Linked DNA regions of Drosophila melanogaster. The protein of the gene in region 1 interacts with the protein of each later gene in a pairwise test. Each region holds a gene or a part of one and is shown in the gene's direction. Other genes may lie near its edges. The genes, in order: CG42390, Xrcc2 and CG14207.

Region 1 (6,864 bases):
TCTCAATAGAGTGATGTGTGAATTTTGGCCAATACATATAATTGCCAAAGTGCGGCTGTTGAAAGTATCCTTCATTATTAGTTTTCCCTGATCATTGGTTCTTATAATTCCCATTCCGTGGGCATTCCAGTTTTGAAGGCTACAATTGTTATCCAGATGATGCTTAACAATCACAAGTGTTTCCATCTTATGCAGTTTAATCATCGAACGCACAATATTGTTAAGATATTTTAGCTGTAGGAACTCAGTTTCCTGACTAACAGCCTGGCTCAAAATAAGTATAAATAGTAAATTAAATATAAGTGACATATTTCGTAATTCACGTAGTGGTATCACCTCCTGCAAATTAAGACTGAACTTCAAACATAAACCTTTTTTTTTTAGTAGTCGCGCACTCAGGTCGTGTTTAACTTTTATTTCTCAATTGACAGCTGCCACTTTTAATCTGGATTAATTTAATGGCATTTCATCAGTTTAAGTGATATTGAATGCTTGAATGATTAATCATAAAGTGTTCTTGGTATTCAGAAGTTTATTTTTTTATGTAGAACTTACGTTGTAATTTGTTCAAATTGGAAAGAAAACATATTTTTGTTCGTTTTGATTACAAAGTGTTTAGTATACATCCTTTTTAATGTATGAGTTTTTTGAATAACATTAATATGCTTATTATGGTTAAGTTTTTTCTTAGATATCTTTCTAAACGAAATCGTCATCTTCGCTTGATCTTTCTCTCATATTGCTTGTGTGTTGGTTACTTTTCTGGAGAAGTATCTCAACAATAAATACCAGTGTTGCGATACTTTCGCCAATGAACAGAAGATGCCATATCCAGCTCAAATGCTGAATGGACAAAGGAACTGCTCCCTCTTTAATCCTGCGAGGAGAGGTAACATTGTATAAAAGTTTAAGGACCTTAGGAAGTTGTTCAGTCCAAGAATCGGGAATACCCGTTTGTGGCATGTAGGTGATATACCTTGACAGCATCCATTTTAAGACCGAATTATTTCCCAGAACATACATACGTGGCAGATTCCAGGCAATGGTCAAACTTTCAGATTCGCAAAAAACCCTTTCATCAAAAGACTTTTGGACCGTATTCAACGATTTCCATGTAGTTGTGTACATTACATAGCTGTAGCTATCGTTAAAATTCCAAATCATTCTGAGAGCTTCTTTCTTTTGCAGAATTAAATAGTGGGGTAAAACGTGATCAAAGAACTCTGGATCGATATGCTTTTCGATGAAAGAGTGAGTATATTTATCCATAATAGTTATCAATCCGCTATCTCTCAACTCTTTGAAATTTCTAACCTGAGGGTTTTGAGCTGGTTTCGTTAGCAGTGCACTTAATGTGCAGCTAACAAAATTGCTATAGACAAGACCGAAAACGCTTATGACCAAAAAGAGTTGTCGCAGTGAAATGCTCGATCTGCGAAACTCCGGAAATGGCAGACCTAAAATGCCTCGAAAGGCTCGAGGATTTAGCAGTTGATTTAAGCTGGTCAGACGAACTTCTCGACCGGATATCCTGTGGGTTAGCCAAAGTATCAGGGTTTCTATCAAAACGAAAACCGCGTAGGCAATCAATAGGCAACCTATCAATTTCAGTACACCCAATTTGTGAAGTACATCCATAAAGCGCCATTTCGGACTACAGGGCACTATGACAATCAATGAGCAGGCGGTGTTGGGACTTACGAATGCCATCTGAGTGGGAAAATCTTTGGTTATGAAAAGTGGTCCTAACTGTATATCGAAATGGTCTGATTTAGACTCATTTTGGTCATATAATTTCAAACTCAAGTTATACTTAACGGCGAACTGAACAATTTCATAATCTTTGAGTTCGGATAAGGGAATTGGGCCTGATGGCGACCATACTTTAAAACGAATGTTCGAAACCACACTCTCCTTCAGGATGGCCGTTTTACCTTGGAAACTTAACCCACAGCCAAAAAAACTGGTTCGCCTTATGTTGGATATATTTGTTATTTGGCGAAATCGTGGAGTCGGATATGGATTCAATTGATGAAGTGATGGTACTGCATCGACATCTTCGTTCATTGTCACGATTATTATCTGAGCAAAATTATACCTATCGGCTTGCTGAGAGATGTAGTCCATCAACATCTTCGTGGGTTCCCTTTCGCTCCACAGTATGATCCTCTCCTGCCTCATGTTGTCCATAGCGTTGGCCAGACTTTTAAGCAGCCCATAGTCTGAATTTTCGCCCATGCAAGCTAATATAACTGCCTGGTCATTGAAGTAGCCACTAATCCGGATGGAACCCATTTCATTGGTCCTCAGGATAGGACTTCCACGTGGATTCCATTGGTCAAGATGGCAGTATTCATCCCGACTATGCTTGATTACCATTATTGTTCGAATTTCTCGACCCTCCTCTATAACATTGATGAGTTCTCTAAGGAACTTTAGCTGCGGGTTCTTGCTTCCTTTGGTCAGCGATAGATATATCAGTGGTAAAACTAATAATTTGAACACTTTTGACATTTTTAGTTAGCCTTGGGTTAGTTTAAGCAGCTCTAGAAAGTTGGAACTGAACTGAATATCCAGGAAACAACTTACCTTCCTAGAAACCAATCATAAGATAGCCAGCGACGACACCTGTCAAATGTTGTGCACAGCAATTTTAGCAATTAATTTAATTGCTATTCAATAGTTTGGAAACTCTATCCTCCTAGTATTTAGTAGATTTCGAACAACTCGAATAGGTTAATCCCCGAAAGGCATCGAAATAGCTTTCTGTTGTGTAAAGAAATAATCAAACTCAAATGAAGAAAACAATGAAATCGGTTAGCTTTAATTTTCCGGCATCTACATCATGATATTATTGCACCAATCCAGTTGCTGATCCGGAAAATATTTGCCTTTGCCACTGGGAATGTTTTTCCACATTTATGGGTCAACTGATGCTGCCATTCCCGCTCCATTTGTTTGTGCAACAATTGAGATACGATTCGGTTAACCGATTCCATTTGGCCAACTGATCGACGTCGAGTGGACCGGCATCTAGAATCTATCGATAGCGTCGGCCGAGCGACAATTTTCCTCGGCGGCAGCAGCACTTTTCCTCGCCGAAAAAGATCAGATACTTTTGCAGTCGTGTACCGTTTGCTGAACCGTTTGGAACGCGAGCGCCGTGAGACGGCATTGTGAAAAGTGAAAAATGAATTTTCCGCCCTGGGCAGTCGATGCGCTTGGAACGCCCGAGCATGTGCCATTGCCTGTCAGCGTTTAACAAGTGTTTTTCCCCAACTTTTCCCCCTACACAACATCTTGTGGGCGTGGGCCTAGCGGAAATGAGAAAATTTAATTTTAACAATTATTAATTGTCATTCAGTGTCAAATCAAATTGTGCCCTGTGTGTGTTTCGTGCTAATTGCGTAAATAATCTCCTTAAATAATTACTTTATATGACTCAAGTTAGCTGTAGCTTACACAAGTACAGCGGAAATTGTTGAATTTGTTGAGTTGTAACAAAAAAAAAAATACCTTCCAGTAAGTTGTTTTCATACCCTTAAACTGAAATTAAACAGAATTCATAGCAAAAACTGACTATAAAACTCATACCCATTTCTGCAGAATATCTAACAATATGACCTAATGTTGTAAATATGTATAGAATATATATATTTAAATAAATAGCTAGTGAAAGCAATGCTTTAAGTTGATTTTGTGTGCCATCACTGCAGATACGCATTACATATTTGTTATTGTTTGGGCTTCTGCTAAGATACACTCGATTAACTCGCTCAACACCTCAAGGCGTGCCTGTCGCAATCAATTTCTGTCGCCTGTCGCCTGCATTAATAGTTTCACTAATTTTGAAATTTATTAGATCCCCCCCCTCGCCAAAGTCTTACATATCTGTTTTATGTGTAGTAAACAGTTTTTATCACCTCCACGGGCAGTGGAACGGAAAAGTCGGGCAGTTCAGAGAGCATACTGTTTGGAAGATCATCATCAGAGGAGCAGCTAAACAGACGGGCAGGCTGAAAATCCAAAAGGCTAGTAAAAATATTAACCCGTCCCTGGGCGACGGAAAATCTATGGCCAGAATGTTTTAAATCCGCTGCCTGATCTGGCATCAGTCAATGTCAGTTGGCCCAGTGCCAGGTCGAGTGTGTGGGCGGCGACAAACAAACAATTGCCGGGCTAAAGAAATGTAAATAAATGTGGAGTATGGGGAATGTGCTCGAAGGTGTTGCATCTAAAGGCAAAGTAACTTAAATCATGACCACATATGAAACGGAGAGTACTTCACTTTCCATATTCTTCTTCCGACCAAGATGCGTGTCATGCTCGTCTAGAAAAATCATTTTCAAGTGGATTTTGTATTCAGTGTTTTGGTGCGAACCATATTCATATTGCTGGCAATGTACAGTGCGTTTCATAAAGCATTTAGCATACATGGAATATCTAAATAATAAAAAATATATGCGTCAAAAAGCGCATATTCTAAACAAATAGTTTTGAAATGTGTTTCTTTAATTTCATAATCATCCAGCATATAAAAAATAAGTATCCATATAGACCCGAAACGCACTGTACATATCAAAACTCTTAATATGTATTGCCATATATTTCTCGATTGCTAACACATGTTCAAACGACGACAAAGCATGCCAAATATTTATGGCATATTTTTTGTTTGTGGCATTTTTTGTGTCATATTACTTTAATTTCTATTAATTTTTACCTCCTCCGTCGCGATAGAGACGCTCGCCAGAAACATAAATATGTTAACACATTTTATTTTAAAAGAATTCTTTAATGGATTTTTATTGACTGAGCTTTTTGGGCCTATGGGTTGGGGCATTGGCATTGGCCAAGTGCAAAATTTATTATACATTTATCATTTATGTATCTTTTATTTTTGCGTTTCTGTTTTGCTTCACGTTAAAAATGTTTATAATTTTGTTTGCTTTGGATTTCTGAACTTGTGCAACAATTGGCAAGAAATATAAAATGTAAATTCAACAATGATATAAAGTCTATGCCATCTGGTTGAAGGCTGTAAACTTGAACGACTTATGAAGTGGGTCAGTGTTTTTTCTAACAAAAAAACAAAAAAAAAAAAAAATAGAGGAAATAAGTATATTTATTGATTTGGAGTGATTTTGATCAGCCATATAGGAATTTCCATTTCGTACCCATTATACTCGACTGCATCATTTCCGTTTCTGAATTTCGTGCCAAAAGTAAGAGCGTCATGCACTTGACCAGACCAGATCTTTCCAAATCCCCCTGCCAGCACCTTTTCACAATTCTAAAAATGTTGATCATTTGGAGGCGTTTGGTTTTTATCTATATACATTTAAAAAAAAATATCGGAATTATGTGCAAACTGCGCAGCTGTCTTTAAATGCAAATTGTTCCACGAAACATTAATTTTACTGTCGGCTTTCCTGGAATAAATCTCATCCATTTTTTTAATTAAAAATTGAGCTAAGCATGCTTTTTATTCTGATTGTCTTCAAATTTGTTTAACTTTTAATGAATTTTGACCCATATTTCAAGTACTTTATTACTAAAAAGCTAAAAACATTTAATTACTCATTAAAGGTCATAGAAAAATCAATTAATTTGTATATCCAAACTGGATTATCTATAAATCTTCTGAAACATCAATTACAGTGATCTGGCGCCGGATTTTCATTTCAATTCCAAAGTGACGTCAATGAGAGCCCTACGAGCGAAATTTTTCGAATAGATATTTTTAGTTTTATTCCGCCGATTTCGTTGCTTTGGAAAGTTGGCGGGTCTGTGTTTTATTTTATTGCTGCCTATAATTGGTTCGTTTATGTGCGGAATGGAAGAGAGCGTCCTGAACTTGAAATAGGGTAATGAAACATGGTAAACGAGAGGGGAACGGGAAGAAGGAAGTTGCACCAGGATTATGATCTTGTGCTCGGTGCATCGAAATTAGTTTATTTTTGGCCTGCTGAGTGCAATTTGAACTTTGCTTTCAGCGGAAAGACTAATGACTGGGGAGCGTCGCTGACTCATGTGTACATATATCTCTAAAAGGGCACTGGAAAAAATATAAAAATAGTAAAGAAAAATGTTTAGGGGTTGACGACTTCTTTGGTTTACTTGGCATACTTTTAGGAGTTTACTTAAAAGTACAAACTTATTTCAGTTTAAATCAGCATATTTCTTAAAACATAAGTTATGCCAACAGATTAATACTCAGTATTAAGATGATTTTAAAACTTAATAAAACTATGAATGAAATCATTTTAATAACCCAATTAGATGAATAGGTTTCACTTTTCCATTGTGCTTATTTGAATGCCTTAGGAAATTGTTGTTGCTCATCGAATGACACATAATGACGCATTACTTGGACTATAGAGTAAATGGCCCCCACTTTCTATTCATCAATTAATATGCATAAGCAATTATCAAGTTTACCAAAGGCGGTATACCCCTGCGAGCGTGTGTTCTTCCTTCTGTAAAATAATTAAAACAAATTATGCCATGTGCCTACATGGCACTTAGAAAAATATATTATGATTATTTATCATACCGAAAAAAAAAATGTTTTTTTAGTACTGCTAAATCTAATTAATCTTTAAAACAATTTTTTCTAATTACACTTGTATATTTTGTCTTTGCTTGATATTGTTTTATTCCTAATTTTTTTGAAGTGTACCAGTACTCACACGCGCGCAATGTTGTTACTCATATTTGTCCAGCATTATTGTCATCATCGTGATTATCCTAATAATCATGATGGCGATCATTATGGCTGTAGAAGTCGCATCGCTTGGATTGCCGACTGAGCGACAGTCGCAGTTTATCCGCCGACCAAGTCGAGTCAGTGAATCCGCCAAA
Region 2 (5,451 bases), on another chromosome or scaffold:
TTGTCTAAAATATCGCCCCCGTTGCCCCGGCTGAAACCCTTGTGATCCATTCCTTGATCCTCCTCCTCCTGCTGCTCCTCCCAAACATGCTGGACTTACCAGCGTGGGCGTATCTCCTTGAACCACCACTGCTGGTAGCTATCGTTAACATCGCAGTGACCCAATGACAATTGCTGCGTGGCCGGATGCAGGGCCATGCATTTCTTGTGGACGCGATGCATCAGGTGCTTCGTGTGCTCGTTGTACTGCCAAGGACCGTCGACTGTCCCCAGACGACACACGGCCAGTTTGATGCCCTGCCGATCGGCCTCCACGCAGCGCTCGCCGACGCCCAACTGGCCAGCGGCATTGAGCCGAACCAGTTGATTATTTCCGCCTCCATGGCAGTATGTGAGGCCCATGATGGCCGGCGGCTGGTGGCCCATCGAGTCCAGGCATCCGTCGGAGGCCACCGAGCGCAGCTCGCCCCAGTGCAGGTTGGCCGGCAGACCCGGGAACTTGTCGTACACATCGTAGGCGATGTGGTCCATGAACCACTGGAAGCTCTTGCAGTTCAGTCGCTTCTTCAGCGCCAGTTGCTCGCTAATGTCGCCCATGTCCAGGTAGCGGGCAAGCGGCTCGCGCGTATAGAAGTACTCCTTGTGCGTGTCGTCGAACCACGTCTCGATGACGCGCTTGTAGTTGATCGTGATCAATGGACCCTTCTTCTTGCTAGCCAGTTTGCCGAAATTGTAGGGCATAAAGCCGCGATAGACGTGACCCACGCGAGAGCATGGCACCCACTCGATGCTGCCGCCACACTGCCAGATCTTGAAGCTCAATTCGAAGTTCTCGCCGCCCCAGACCAGCAGACCCGGATCGTAGGCGCCCAGCTCCAGGAAGTACTCCCTATTGATGGCGAACAGGCCGCCGGCGTGCGTGGGACTGCGATAGGGTTCCGAGTTGTGAGCACGGCGGCGCTGCTCGCGACGTGGCACCTCGTTCTCCTTGTACAGCATGCCCCATTCGAAGATGCCGCGGAAGTGGTTGTCCGTGCCATAAACCGGCCGGTACTCAAAGTTCTTGTGGTCAATGCCATCGATAATGGGCACTGTCATCACAGTGCGATCCCGGTAGATGGGCGCCAGCAAGGGCGGCAGCCAGTTGGTGTTTACCTCGCAATGGGCGTCCAAGAAGACGATCACCTCACCTGCGGGATGCAAAGCAGTTTAGTGTTTGTGTGGATATTTATAAGGTTGTGGGTTAATATGATGATTTAAAGGATGATGCTTTAAAATAGTAATTTGTAAATTTCTATGCATACTGTTTATGCTAAAAGGCTTGTTTGAAATCGACGATAATCTTGCTTCAATTGCAATGATAGGCAATTCTATTATGCTGAGAAAATGTAAAAGAAATTCAATGAGTCTGCAGTTTAAAGGTTTATCATTGCCACAAAGCGGAACGTGAAGTTATCTTCAATTCAAATTCCAAATAGCTGGCGTTTCAGCGTTTGATGCAAACATCTCAAGATAAAACTATTGTTTTCCATACAACACGTTCTTTTAACTATGCGATAAGCCGTCATGAGTTATGCAAGTTATGCAAGAACACATAACAATATACATAAATGAGATATGGGCTATACGCACCTGTAGCCTCCATGGCTCCCCTGGATCTCGTTCGGATGAGACCTTCGCGCTCCTTGTTCCTGATGACCTTGACCAGCCCCTTGAACTGCAGCACATACTCGTCCAGCTGGCTGCGCAGGTTCTCCTTGTCGGAGAAGTCATCCACCAGGATGATCTCGTGCAGCATGTGCGTGGGCGAACGATCGATGACCGAGTGCACGGTGCGCATCAGCACCGAGAAGCCCTCGTTGTGGAAGACAATGATGACGCTCGTGCGCGGCAGATCGAAGGGGTAGTCCCAGTGGCGGCACTCTTCGAGCCGCGTGTCCCGCACCGATCGGTGCATCGATATCTCATCGGAGCAGGCGATGTTCATGCCGTACTCCATCTCGGAGGCGTCCGACATGTGCTTCTTGTCCGGCGACAGGCTGTGGGCCTCGCCATTCTCGCCAGGCCCGCTACGTGGCTTCACATCTTTCGGCTCAAAGTTGCCAAGGCCTGAAAAACGCAAAAACAAATTGTGAGTGTGGCGCGTGCAAATTACCTATGCAAGCTTACAGCAATTGTTTAAATATTGGCCCAGCCACTCACTGTATGCGCTTGCAGGAGGTGTGGGTTATAATTTCAGACTTATGCATAAAGGCGGGGTATTACAGACCAATAATATGCCATCATCTAACCATCTTATGGTCATATGGAATATTCTACGACTAGAATTAGCATTTGATACAAAAGACTAAAGACACACTAGTTTTGGTGGCTGTGCAGTAAAAATGACTTTTATGAGGTTATTTTCTCACTCTATCCGAATTTGATAGTTGGTTGGTTAGGGCCATTACAAAGCCGGTTTTGGAGAATGTATAATAGAATGCGATAAATATTTGAAATGGGCTCGTAAGTTAGACTGGGAATAGACTGTACGATATGGGTTGGAAAAGGTTATCCTTTAACCTCCAACCATACTTTACTCACGCTAAACGTGGTAATAAAGACTTCTTTGAATACTATGTAGCATACATGGCAAGTAATTAATTGGTTAAAACGAGCAAAAGCCGGTTTTAAGTGATATAAAGCAAAGATTACTGAATTCTTTAGCTGGGTTTGCAGTAAGCAAACAACTCGGTCTTTTCAACAATGATATGGTAACTACTCTGTATCCTTAGTTCTGATGATAGTCCTCCATAATAAAATTGTATAATACGTGAGTGAGGAATCTTAATGGCAAGGCTCACGTTATGGGTGACACAATCCTATTCTTTATCCTGGTCAAGGGCTGATATTGCTATCCTCGATCCTGTAGCCACTTACCATCGACCAGCTTGGGCACCTCCCTGGGCCTGCCCTCCAATCGCTGGTGGGCGAACTTGGGTCCGCCGAAGCGCGTGTGATACGCCTCCTGGACGCGCTTGTGGTGATCGCTCCAGTTGGCCAGCAGATACAGCAGCGGCAGCAGTACCAGCAGGCACAATGCCAGCCGGCAGATCCGACCGCTGCGGATGGTGCTCACGCGCATCTCTCCCTAATTCCGATTCCGATGCCCAGTTCCAGATTCCAGTTACAAAGTTCCAAATCTGTTGACGTGTCTAGGTGGCCAGAAAGAAAAAGCACGGCGCGGGAGACGGGAAGCGGTAAGCGGGGAGCGCGGAAAGGTGGCCACAAAGCAGAAAGAGAACAAAAGAACCACTTTTGGTTCGGATTCGAGATGCCGCTGAATGATCAAAGGCGCCCCGCCGATAATGACAATTACAAGTGCTGGGGCGAGAAGCTAACTGGAGTACACCAGCTCGTCCGCCTGAGTGATGCTTTAACTCGGTGCGGAGCAACTTGCCGGCGAAAAAGCGCCGCTGGCTTTGAGCAAATTGCGAGTGCAGGTGCACGAATATTCGCGGTGCAAACGTAAACAAAAAATGGTAGAAAACGATGTTCAACTGGTAAGAACGCGTTATGCCGTTTTTTCTATCATCGCCCAGGCGTTAGGGCTAAATTAGGCACCAGCAGCGATAGGCGGCTGGGCGATAACACAGGGTGGTGAAAATGGATTTTTTTTATGTATGTGCGCAAATAAGTCTAAATGCTAACTGAAAGTTATAACGAAACGCTTGCTGCTGTTGTTTAACTATTCGATATGCCCTAGTTCCATTTAGTGTTAAATATGTTTCAGCGCTGCGCAATTCAACTTTAGGTGGCTGTCATCGATAAAGGCCACAATCGATAACTCCTTTGTTTATGCCAGGGCGCAAATTTGTAAATTTAACCTAATGGGCTCACATCAACTCCACTTTGCCGTTTTTGGCTCCTGCGGCTTTGAAGCCGATACGCTGGTGGAGATCTCCGGCCCAGGGAACAGTGGCAAAAGCCTGGTGCTCCAACAGTTGGTGGCCCACTGCCTGGTGCCCTACAAATTCGGTGGTCGCCAGTGGAGCGTCCTGCTGATCAATCTGAGTCACAAGATCAACCGTGAATCTCTGGCCAAGAGCATTAGGATGGAGCTGAAGGCGTACTCTGTCGGCGAAGTGATTGCTGCGAAATGCCCCACGGAGGAGCAGCTGGCCGAGATTGCGGGCGAGTGCATGAGTCGCGTGCGATTCCTCAACTGTTTTGCAAACGATGATGTTTCCACGTCGCTAATCGACGCCCGCTACGCGATCATCAATGATCCTGGCATACAATTGGTTGCCATGGACACACTCAGCGAATTCTACTGGCTAGATGAGCCTAAGATTGCCAAGAGAATGTCCATGTATCGCCACTATCGATTGCTCCAGGCGCGCCTGGAGAAGCTCTGCAAGGATGCCATCGTCTGCGGCATGTACACGGTGGAGTCTGCCTTTCTGGAGAATCGTTTTGGCGAAAACTTGCCCGAGGCTGGCATAAAGTACCATGTCAGGATGCAGAAGATTCAAAACCAGATCCTCTTGAATGGACTGCCGCTGTCGTTTAGCAATGGAATTCATTTGGATACAAATACTAGCAAGGAAATTACTGAGGCATTGCTGACTCAGCCCAGTTAACATAGTTAAATTATTATTATTAATCTTAGGACAAAATGATGCTAGGAACTGAAAGAAGTAAACGATTGTATATAGAGTATATAGAGTTGATTAAATTGTATATAGAGTTGATAGGTTAAGAAAATTGTATATAGTTTAACAATTTAACTTTAATAATATCTTCCTTTTAGGGATTAGAAATTATATTTGTTATTACTCCTTTATTAGACAATTTCAAGGCCTATGAGTGAGAAAGTAATCTGTGCAACTAATTAAGTTAAAAAAAAGGTATAACTTCTACATTATCTAGATAGTTACGAACTCAAATATACTTTAATTTCCGTGATATCTTCCTAGTTTTACCCGCTCGAACAAAGAAAATTATAGTCCATATAGATCTAGAAGGAAAGTTCGCTTTTATGACTTATTCCATTCAGTAATATATTTAATATTATATATCAGTAATATTATCTTAATTAAAAAAAATACAACAGTTCTTTAAAATTGTGTTGAAACCTTCACTATGTTCTTTTTTTGTTTTTGAAGAAGGCCAACCCTACCAGAATTATACTTAAAACTAATGATTTCTAAAAGCTATACATAAGTAAGGTGGTTTTGTTTAGCAGTTTTTTTTTTCGTTTTCGTTTTCCTTTTTTATCGTTTTCTTAGCATTTTAAGAAGAAGCAATATGATGGTGTATGGTAATGGCAATTAAAATGGAGAGGAGGGGGGGGGGGGGGGCTTTTTAATGTTATCCGCCGATTGATTTTGGTAGTGCTTAAAAGCCGGTAAATTAGTAAAAATTATTATTAAATACAATCATTAATTTAAATGTAATTTCAATAAATAAT
Region 3 (9,742 bases), on another chromosome or scaffold:
CTATTAAATTTCCTTTTGTATTTATAAATTGCTTAGCTGTAAATTTATCAATTAAACAGACAACCAAACCAAAATGTTCTGTATATGCATATGTAGGAAAATTGTGGTAATTGCTTCATTTATTAGTCCATTGTTATTGAATTTAAATTTTGATGACGCACTATCCATGACATCAGCGGATATATTTCAAAAATATGTCACCGGGCTAGAATGGAATTGAATTACAGCTACAGCTTTGTGGGTGTAATTTAATTGAGCAACTCACGGCTCTGGTGCTAAACAAAAATGATTTAAGCCGTGAACGGCTTACGGTTTCGAACAATAAATAGCCGACTGTCGTTTTTGCGCTTCATAAAGTTTAATTTGTGTATCTGCCCGCCTATAATTAAATAGTGCCCGCACAGGCGCTGCACTCGTACGTATACGTAATACGCGTTTACACTTATGTACATAAATATGTACATACATGTCCAACAATCCAACAATCCGCATGGGCGAAAGCATACTTTGTTTGAATACCACGACGGCTGACATATATTCCGATGCTGTCGTCAAGCAGAAGCCATCCACTGGCCGCCAGTGGATGAGTCTGCCCACGCAGGAGTAGATCGCTATTTGGTCGAGCTGAAAAATTAGTGAGCGCTCATCGTCGACCAAAAATTCCATGCTAAATCATCGCGAGTAAATTTTGATTGATTTCTGACTGCGAGGGGGTGGCTAGGTGGCTGCTGGCTCGCTGGCTAGCTATACATTTCGTTTTATTTTGTTTTTGTTTTTTTCGATTTGGAATGGACTATGAGTTTAAGTGGGATGACATGCCGGCAAATGACTAGAGCACTTATATATATACACTTATATATATATATATAAATATATGTATATACACTTGCTCTGCTTTAGCTTCGTCGAGAATTCTCTGGTGACGTGGGGAAAATTTGTTTTCCCAATTTCTTGTCGATCTTCACGAGATTTGTACATTCGTATGTACATATGTATGTACAATATGTACGTTCTTTCAGTTGGCTTGGCAAAACAATAATACACATACTGCACACTCATGTTTCTAGATGATTCCTACAATATTTATTAGATCCACCTAGATCATTGGAATTTATGAAATCAAACAAAATTGATTTGAATGATTTGAAAAGGCACAAAATACAATTGAATTAAGACTGAAACGTGCACGAATGTGCAAACTTGGAATCCTCTTTTCAAAAATTAATTTTGTTTGAATACCGATATGTATGCTTTGTGGGGACACTGGGGACTTCAAGGTCGAGATTATTGATGAAAATGAGTTTGTTGTTTGGACAGGGGGCATTAGCCATTAGCCATTGCGAGCATGTGGGCGCTGTGAAAAATACATATGTACATATGTACACATGTATGTATGGATGTACAATGAAAACACCTCAGCCGTTAAGCCACGATGATTGTCGTTTTATTTTCGAAATTCGTGATTAAGTCTATAATTATTTTGATGGCACAACTGCCGTTGTCCCCGATGGAATTTCGAGCAGTAAAACGGTCACGGATTCAAAATATTGCATTTTAATATGTCGCACTTGCACTTAAAAAAAAAAAACAAAAGAATGTAAGTTATGTGCAGGCAATAACAGCTTTAAAAGATATCAAATTTCCAGCTAATGAGTTTTCTTATGGATGAGAGATGCAATTGTTAAGTTGAAGAAAAATCTAGTTTGTCTAGCTAAATATGCATATGGTTCATAAAACTTATGAATATATATCGCACATTTTTTCTGCAGTTGCAACTTTGCAATCCGGCTCTCATTAATTTCAATTTAAATTTTAATTCCCCTGGCCGACGCTCCCTAAAAGGAATTGAATCGAATCGAATGGACTCGACTTGGCTCGATTCCCGATTCTCGACTCCGACCGCCAATGTCACGCGGCTGAGTCATTTCGCATTTGTTTACAAACAAACCGATGCGGCGGAGTGGGTAGTACCATGGATATGGCCAAGCACACTGGCAGAAAACGACACAGATACTAAGATACTATAATGCCTCTCTGTTAGATTAGGAAACATATCCTATTATAGCTAACAAGCTTACAACAGTACAATTTCCAATCTTAGCTCAGCATAGAGATATTTAAATTTACATATGTATATATGACATATATTTTTCTGCGTGTATTTGGGCCGCCAACGTTCTCCACCCACCCGGTCTAATATTGGGATTTATCGATTCGCACAATGGGCGGAATTGGCTTTTTGATTTAAGGTCTTAATGATGATGAGCTCTGGGTGTAAGTAACCCCGCGAATATGGACAAGATATCGTGGGCCATCACGCCATAGATGTTCTATTTTAGGACGATGGATAATGCCAACCCACCGCAGGACGGAAAATGCACTTTCCACCAATGTGCAACTCTCTCTCTCTCTCTCTCTCTTTCTCTCTATACCGAAGATCATTTCCCAAAACGGTAGGAAGCGTTGATCGGTTAACCGGTTAACTCAACACGACTCATACTCACACTTTCCACTCGCACTCACAGCACACAAATGCTGAACCAGATGCAATTGGAATCACAGTTCGAGGAACTCACTTCCATGACTGAATGGCTCCCACGCGAGAAGTTTTAAGCATACTTATCAAGATCAAGTTGATCATCAACTAATTAATTGTTGCTAATTGAACACTTGTTCCTAGAAAGTTTTTTAGGAGCTTTGAAATGTGTTATGTTATTTCATTGCATTTATGAATTACTAGCTTATTAACGGAAAATAAATCATGGCTTCCTTGTTTTCGGTCATTTTGTATAAACCAAATTTGTCTTACAACTATTGTTTCACTTCTAAATGTGTTCCCCGTGCGTCATTATTTCCATAAAATACAAAATCAATACAGCGAATATAGTGTTTTGGGTGGTCCGCTAACGATTAGTGGTTAAAGTACGCTTAAACAATTCCCTTTGCGGATAGAAGTTCTTTTTGATCCAATGGCAATAGAAACATAATCAAATCCGCAAATCGATGACTAAATGCGGCTTCATCGGTCTATCGATATCGCCACACTGCTGCGCAGCGGCAATCGAAGTACAATCGGTACGAAAGCTATAAAAGCAAAGACACACTGTGAATGCAAAACAGTTCAGAAATTGAAACGCGGCTATCTGTGCGATACGTCCAACCGAAATCACACACTTGAACGTCTTGAGTTTCGAATACATATAGAAAACCCATCGAGTTCCCTTTTTTTTTGGTTGCTCCGTCGATTAGCAAGTGAACAAGCTCGAAAGCGCGTTGAGCAGAACAGAACAGAACAGAGAATAATAGAACGGTATACAGTATATACAGTATATACGGTATACAGTGTACAGCGAAGAGATTGGAGATTCCATCTAGCGAAGCAACCACCAAATAAACCACCACAAACAGCACAACAATGGCCGAGGCTAACAAGAGGAATATCCCCATCAAGCTGGGCGACTTCAGCGTCATCGACACGGAGTTCAGCAACATCCGCGAGCGCTTCGACTCCGAGATGCGCAAAATGGAGGAGGAGATGGCCAAGTTCCGTCACGAGCTGATGAACCGCGAGGCGAACTTCTTCGAGTCCACCAGGTAAGCGTAATAGTGATACAAGTGGGATCCCAACACTGGGATAATTCCACATAGCCTGATTCTACCGGGTGTACTGCGATGGAACCCAATCCCGAATCGCTCGACTCATCGCCTCGTTGTTGGCTCCTCTAAATATAGGCGCACATCTTGCCACATCGCCCACTGGTCTGGAGCTCTTCACCCACAGATTCTCCTACGTATGTACATATGTACATACGTGCATACATACATATGTATGTACTAAACAGTGGGCCTCATAGGAGGCGAGCGGCCCGCTTCAATTCTCGCCCCAGATACACTATGTGTATTTCTTTGCCGTCGCTCTGGGGGAGGATGAGTCACCAGTTCTAAATTCTCCGCCGCTGTCTCCGGCCAAGAAACACATGTGTATCTGCTGCCCGCCACCCGCTAGTAAATCCCCCTCCCCCGCCCCGGCACATGGCTAGCCAGCGTCTTGTGCCCTCCCCTTTCGCTCGATCTCGAGTCCCATACGGTTTATGCAACCGTTATGTAGGGCATAACGGAATTTTTCGAACTTTGAGAATCACCTGTGCCAAGATATTCCGTTATATGTGTGTGTGTGTGTGGGTTTCTAGCTGAGCAGAAAAATGTAATTGTTGATAATGAGATAAGATATTAAAATCTGGTCTCTGCGAGCAAAATTAAATATTTGAAAACGCAAAGCATTGAAACGATCGGTGGCACACATGAATAATGTTCATTAAATCTCTAACTATTTCCATTTGTAGTTACTTGTTTTTAAAGCATACATAAGTGACAAACGCGTTTACCTAGCAATCTATTTCCATTTGCAAGTCAATTAAGTGATTCGGCGGTATTTTAACACCCTCGCATATTCATACGAATCAGAGAGAGGGAGAGAGAGAAATTCCAGTTGAATGTTACGAGTGGCATTTTCAATGAACATAGGTTTATTGCCCAAATCAGCGATTAATAAACAAACAATGCCCCAAAGGCGAATGGCAAATACTATGTCGCCGACGCCGTCGCGGTTGCGCGTCTCGTTAGCCTTTCCATTGGAGTTGCGTTGCGTGGGCGCCAGTTTTGGTTGCTATTGGGACGACCTCGCCGTATGACGCAATCGAACCGATGGACTCTATTTGTTGTTGCCTTCGCCATGGTCGCCACTGCATTTGCATGGCCACAACAGAAATGTTACGACTCCACCCCCCTCCCCCCCACCAGACTTCCGTCTGTTTCAGAACTTGGTAGCGCTCCTCTCCACAACTTTGCCCATTCAACGTCAAAGTTGGCAGTGAAAGGAAATTAACCCAAATTGGTATTGTGCCCTCCTGGCTGCAAATTTAATTGGAAATGAAGGGAAACTCACAGTGGCGGCATAAGTTGTGCGCCAGGGCTTGCTTCGGGCGATTAGCCTAATAATCGCCACAGATTGGCCACGTAGTTTAGTAGCTTAGTAGTAGTATTGGATATATACTTGCCAAATAATTCAATCATTCGCCCATAACTGCCCACTGTCCGCAACCTTTGACCTAAGCGGCTTGGCTGTGGCTGTGGCGTGTTGTCAATTGAAGCGCTGCGTGATATCTGAATGACTCAGCACGGAATAAACGCACGCCCCATATACAGGGCAATAAATCCATACAGGTAGGTGTATCTATGCCCTACCGAAGTTGCCACTTGAAGCAATAGTTTATGCTTTTAACTGGATACATTCCCAACAATGTATATTTTATTATTATGGCATAAGAAAAACATGTTTACAAACATGCAATTCCTGCGTAGCTGCCAAAAGCTGTTCAGGCCATTTGCACATTTTAAATAAAACTTTCTTGAACATATGTATGTATATACATACATATGTGTATGTATGTACGTACTGTCACATACTAACGATAGATTGTGTGTAGTGCAGGGCCTCATTTAACCAACTTGGCCATAAGCAAAGACCGCACATCAATGCTGGCGCCTTCAGATATGAACAATGTGCGGATTCAGATGGATTTGGATGCGGTTCCCAGTAAAATAGATTGGTGCGATTATCTCATGCAAATGCATGGAAATTGTATTGGCCAGATCGGATCGGATGGGATGGGATGGCTACCAAACATAGGCAATGCCAACGGTTTGCCTAATTTATAGACTCATTGTGTGTGCGCACAGTTTAAACAAATAAGTGCGCTAGGATCGTACATACATACATACATATGCACATATTTAACCAGCAAATAGATCTGTGCGAAAAGCTTTCGCACACACGGACAGTTTTCAGTTGCGATGAGCACACGCTGCGGCGATTTAGTTGCCAATATTGTTGGCTGGATGCTGATAATTCAAATGAGCAGCGAACTGCGATGATATCATGTCAATTTTTAGCTATTGCGCTGCGCTTCGACTCGATGCTATTCAATTCGATTTCAATCGATGACAAAACGCCGATCGTCGTCGATAATCGATATTTTAATTCGACATTTGTTCACACACACACGCACACACGCGTACACCGCAAACAACTAAAGAGAGCCATTTTGTTTGCGCTTGTTCTGGTTTTTTGGCCGCCTCTCGCGCCCGTGTTTATTTTCGTTCTTCTTTGGTTTCCTTTCGTTTGGCTTTTCAATAACGAAAAAATATGCATGACATCATTGTCATCAGATGCCAGCGAGATATTGTAGTCGCACCACACACACACAACTCACACACATGTAAAAACGTGGGCTGGCCGGAGAGGGTGGGAGTGAGAGCGGCTGCCAGAGTGGGAGGGCAGGTGCCTCTTCATGCTGTCCAAAGAAACTTTGGCCAGGCGGCTAACGGTTATTGGTACTTATCATTAGCGCGCTATTGATTTCTCTCTTCGAGGGGCGATCAACCTCGCAAAGCACATTGCAAGGTCGCCAATAAGCCCACGCACGTTCACGTTTCGGCTCCGATTGATAAGCTTTCTCTGCCTCTGCTCAGAATTTGCGGAGTGCCAATTGATGGCCGCTTATCAACGACTCTCGCTCGCATGCACACACACACAGATACACACATACATTTTGGCTTCATCGCCGACACGCACAGCGGCTTAACGGTCAATCAAATCCCGTAAGCTAAGAATGCAAATTAAGGTGAACCATAAAAAATATTTAAAAAAAAACGACTTACCTATCAATTGATGTGAGAGTGAAGTGAAGAATACAATATTATTTAAAATGAAATCACAAAATTTTAATAAGTGTAGATTTACTAATTTGAACTAAAAATAAAAATTATTGTGAAAAAGCAGTGCGACAAAATGTAATACAAAGTGAACAATTATGGACCAATGAATTATTTCCTGGGTAAATATGTAAATATTTTATGCATACTTTCCTCTATTGTAGGTAATATACATATTCTTTTTTTTTAGATGCTATGCTTGAAACACTTGGATCTTAATAGATAAACTTGCATTCTAAAGGAAATTGGGGACTGGAAGTGCGGAAAACAAAGGAGTTATCATTAATATATGTACATATGCATAAGAAACATGTACCAAAAATGATTAAATATTAATTACAAGAAAACATATGAATGGCTTGAAATTTTCATTGATCATTGTTAAAAATTCCAGAACTTTAATATCGAGTCAAGGCTGTACCTTTATAAAATAGTTAAAAAATTGCTCACCCTTGTACGATAATGTGTAGTTATCTTTTTGTCTAACTCATTATAAACAATTTCTATCTATTTTTCTCTTTCTTGCCGCTTGGAAATATTAAACAACCGCAATAATTTCCACATAATAATAATCTCCTCTCCTCTCTCTTAAAACAAAAGCTCTACTAAAAAAACAACAACTACCAGGTACAATAACGTAGAAAGTTTACAACCTAAACTTTTATTTTCTGTTTATCCTCAATGTTTTTTTCATTCACTCAACCCCTTATTGTTTGGTAACTAATGTATTGGTTTAATGTTATTGCAATCCACACAGACTAAACTAGAAACTCGTTACCAGATGCATCGCATGTTAATCGCCAAATATACACTATAACATTTATTTATAAACAATTTTGAGCCCGGTATAGACGCAAATACATAACTAGAAATGCATACAGTTCGTTTAAAACTAAAAGATAAAATTATAAAAGTTGTAAGTATAGGCAGTTTTTCATAATAGAAAACCGTTTTGATGCGATCCATACATACATATGTACATACATAGATACATATGTATGCATACAATTTCAAGGAAGCAAGGAATAGTTTTATTTGTAGTCTAGATACATGAAGCCTTAATTCTCAATTCCCTTATGGGTAGTTCCTTAAAATAGAAATTATTACAGACATATGGGGAGATTTATGTTTCGAGGGTGACAGCTGCTGCCCCCAGATCCGTACACATGTACATACATACATACGTACATCGCTTTCAAGCGGAAGCCAGATCTATTATTAGACAGGCGTCGAGCATCGCGGCTTCATTTAAGTTGGGTTCGTTACGTCCGGATCAGTTTCATCCCGGAGAAGCATCAGCATGGAGGCCTTTACGCGCACACTGCAAAATACCTTTCGCAGCACTAGGACCACCAGAACCACTACTACAACAACCACAAACTCCTCCACCAGGTTCCTACCTCACCTACGCAACCCTAACACCTTTGGTTTTATTTCGAGTCTACTTGTTCTTAAGTTTCGCTTCAACACTCAACTGCAATACTCATGTACAATATGTTCGTCTCAACTTATTTGCAGCTCAACGACAAACTCGGCGCTGCCATCCCGAATCCCAAAGCAACAGAACTACGTCTCCGACATTAGCTCACCCTTGATCCAGGTAAGCAATGCAAGGAATCTACTCTTGGTTGCCAAAGGATAACACTTATATATCCCCCTTTGCAGGATGAGGGCGATAACAAAGTGCTGAAGCTGCGTTTCGATGTCAGCCAGTATGCGCCCGAGGAAATTGTTGTGAAAACCGTCGACCAGAAGCTATTGGTAAGTCTCTGCTCAGGATGGTTATGTTTTGCAGAGTTTATCTAACATGGATATCTGATTCCTTTCGACTAGGTGCACGCCAAGCACGAGGAGAAGTCGGACACAAAGAGCGTGTACAGGGAGTACAATCGGGAGTTCCTGCTGCCCAAGGGCGTCAATCCCGAGTCCATCCGCTCGTCCCTCAGCAAGGACGGAGTCCTGACCGTGGACGCCCCCCTGCCAGCACTCACCGCCGGCGAGACACTGATTCCCATTGCGCACAAGTGAAGGCCAGCCCAGTTGTCCAGTTGTCCAGCTATCCAGTCACCATGGTCCCAAGCCGGTTGAGGAGCAATAGGCGCAGGAGGAGCAGGAGGAGTGCGAGCTGCTGCCGATCAGATTAAATCCATACACACATTGAGTTTAATCCAATCCTATCTAAATGATTAATTTTTTTGGTTCTGACTTAAAGCTAAACTATGTTACTGACGTACTACTCATTAACTTAAATATAATTGAAATTATTATTAAATTTGATTAATTTAATTCATATTTATAATTTTCGCATTAAACGTAATCAATTTTGCCGTAGTTGCCCCCCATTGGTTTTCCTTTCCTTCCATCGAAAATAAATTAAATATATATCCAACTGAGCGGATTTTGATCAGCGGATTTGTGCATCATTGACTAATTAGCTGCTGCTGAGCCATTTTCACTTTTTAAACGCTGAATTGAAATGATGATGTGCCTTTCCCTTTAGGGAATCGTGAGGCTTGAATAAAGTATATGGATTTCATTTATATTTGACTGTGGTGAATGATATTATTTATGATACAATACAACTTTTCTTTGCAATCGAATATACGGGGATATTTTAAATGGGGAAAAAATCCATCATACGGGCTTGGCTTGACGTTTCAGTTCAACATTCAATATTTCTTTTCCACTTAAAGTTCGTTCCGAAAAACCTTCGACTCAGATAGCTTGTGTGCAACACAAGCTAACCAAATTGTTGACGCTGCTCAGGGATGTCTTCCCTGGAGACCGGTGGTCCTGTCTAGTTGCAATTAACCAAATTGTGAGGCGACATCTCGCCGGAAATACTCAAATCCGATTTTCTAAATCGCCTTTCAAAGCAAATACAAAACGAAAAGATGCCGCCGCAGCTAATGTCCCAGATGGAAAATGGCGGCGAGGAGGAAGGGTGTCGTTTGGAGTGCAAGGAAAT

What was found.
Region 2: the proteins of CG42390 (region 1) and Xrcc2 interact in a two-hybrid assay, tested with the Drosophila melanogaster proteins (one large-scale study listed by BioGRID).
Region 3: the proteins of CG42390 (region 1) and CG14207 interact in a two-hybrid assay, tested with the Drosophila melanogaster proteins (one large-scale study listed by BioGRID).

The regions. Positions count from the first base shown.
Region 1 is NT_033777.3:22,116,941-22,123,804, forward strand, and holds the start of CG42390 (uncharacterized protein), read left to right. Parts: upstream 1-3,120; 5' UTR 3,121-3,522; intron 3,523-3,906; exon of another isoform or gene 3,907-4,031; intron 4,032-6,864. Other genes in the region: Ir94b (ionotropic receptor 94b), read right to left, coding at 1-309; Ir94c (ionotropic receptor 94c), read right to left, coding at 700-2,514.
Region 2 is NC_004354.4:18,496,314-18,501,764, forward strand, and holds Xrcc2 (X-ray repair cross complementing 2), read left to right. Parts: upstream 1-3,813; 5' UTR 3,814-3,868; coding exon 3,869-4,621; 3' UTR 4,622-4,945; downstream 4,946-5,451. Other genes in the region: Pgant7 (polypeptide N-Acetylgalactosaminyltransferase 7), read right to left, coding at 96-1,189, 1,632-2,108, 2,919-3,123.
Region 3 is NC_004354.4:19,602,089-19,611,830, forward strand, and holds CG14207 (uncharacterized protein), read left to right. Parts: upstream 1-3,110; 5' UTR 3,111-3,415; coding exon 3,416-3,594; intron 3,595-7,374; coding exon 7,375-7,401; intron 7,402-8,049; exon of another isoform or gene 8,050-8,074; coding exon of another isoform or gene 8,075-8,166; intron 8,167-8,292; coding exon 8,293-8,374; intron 8,375-8,439; coding exon 8,440-8,535; intron 8,536-8,607; coding exon 8,608-8,802; 3' UTR 8,803-9,185; downstream 9,186-9,742. Other genes in the region: tyler, read left to right, coding at 9,669-9,742.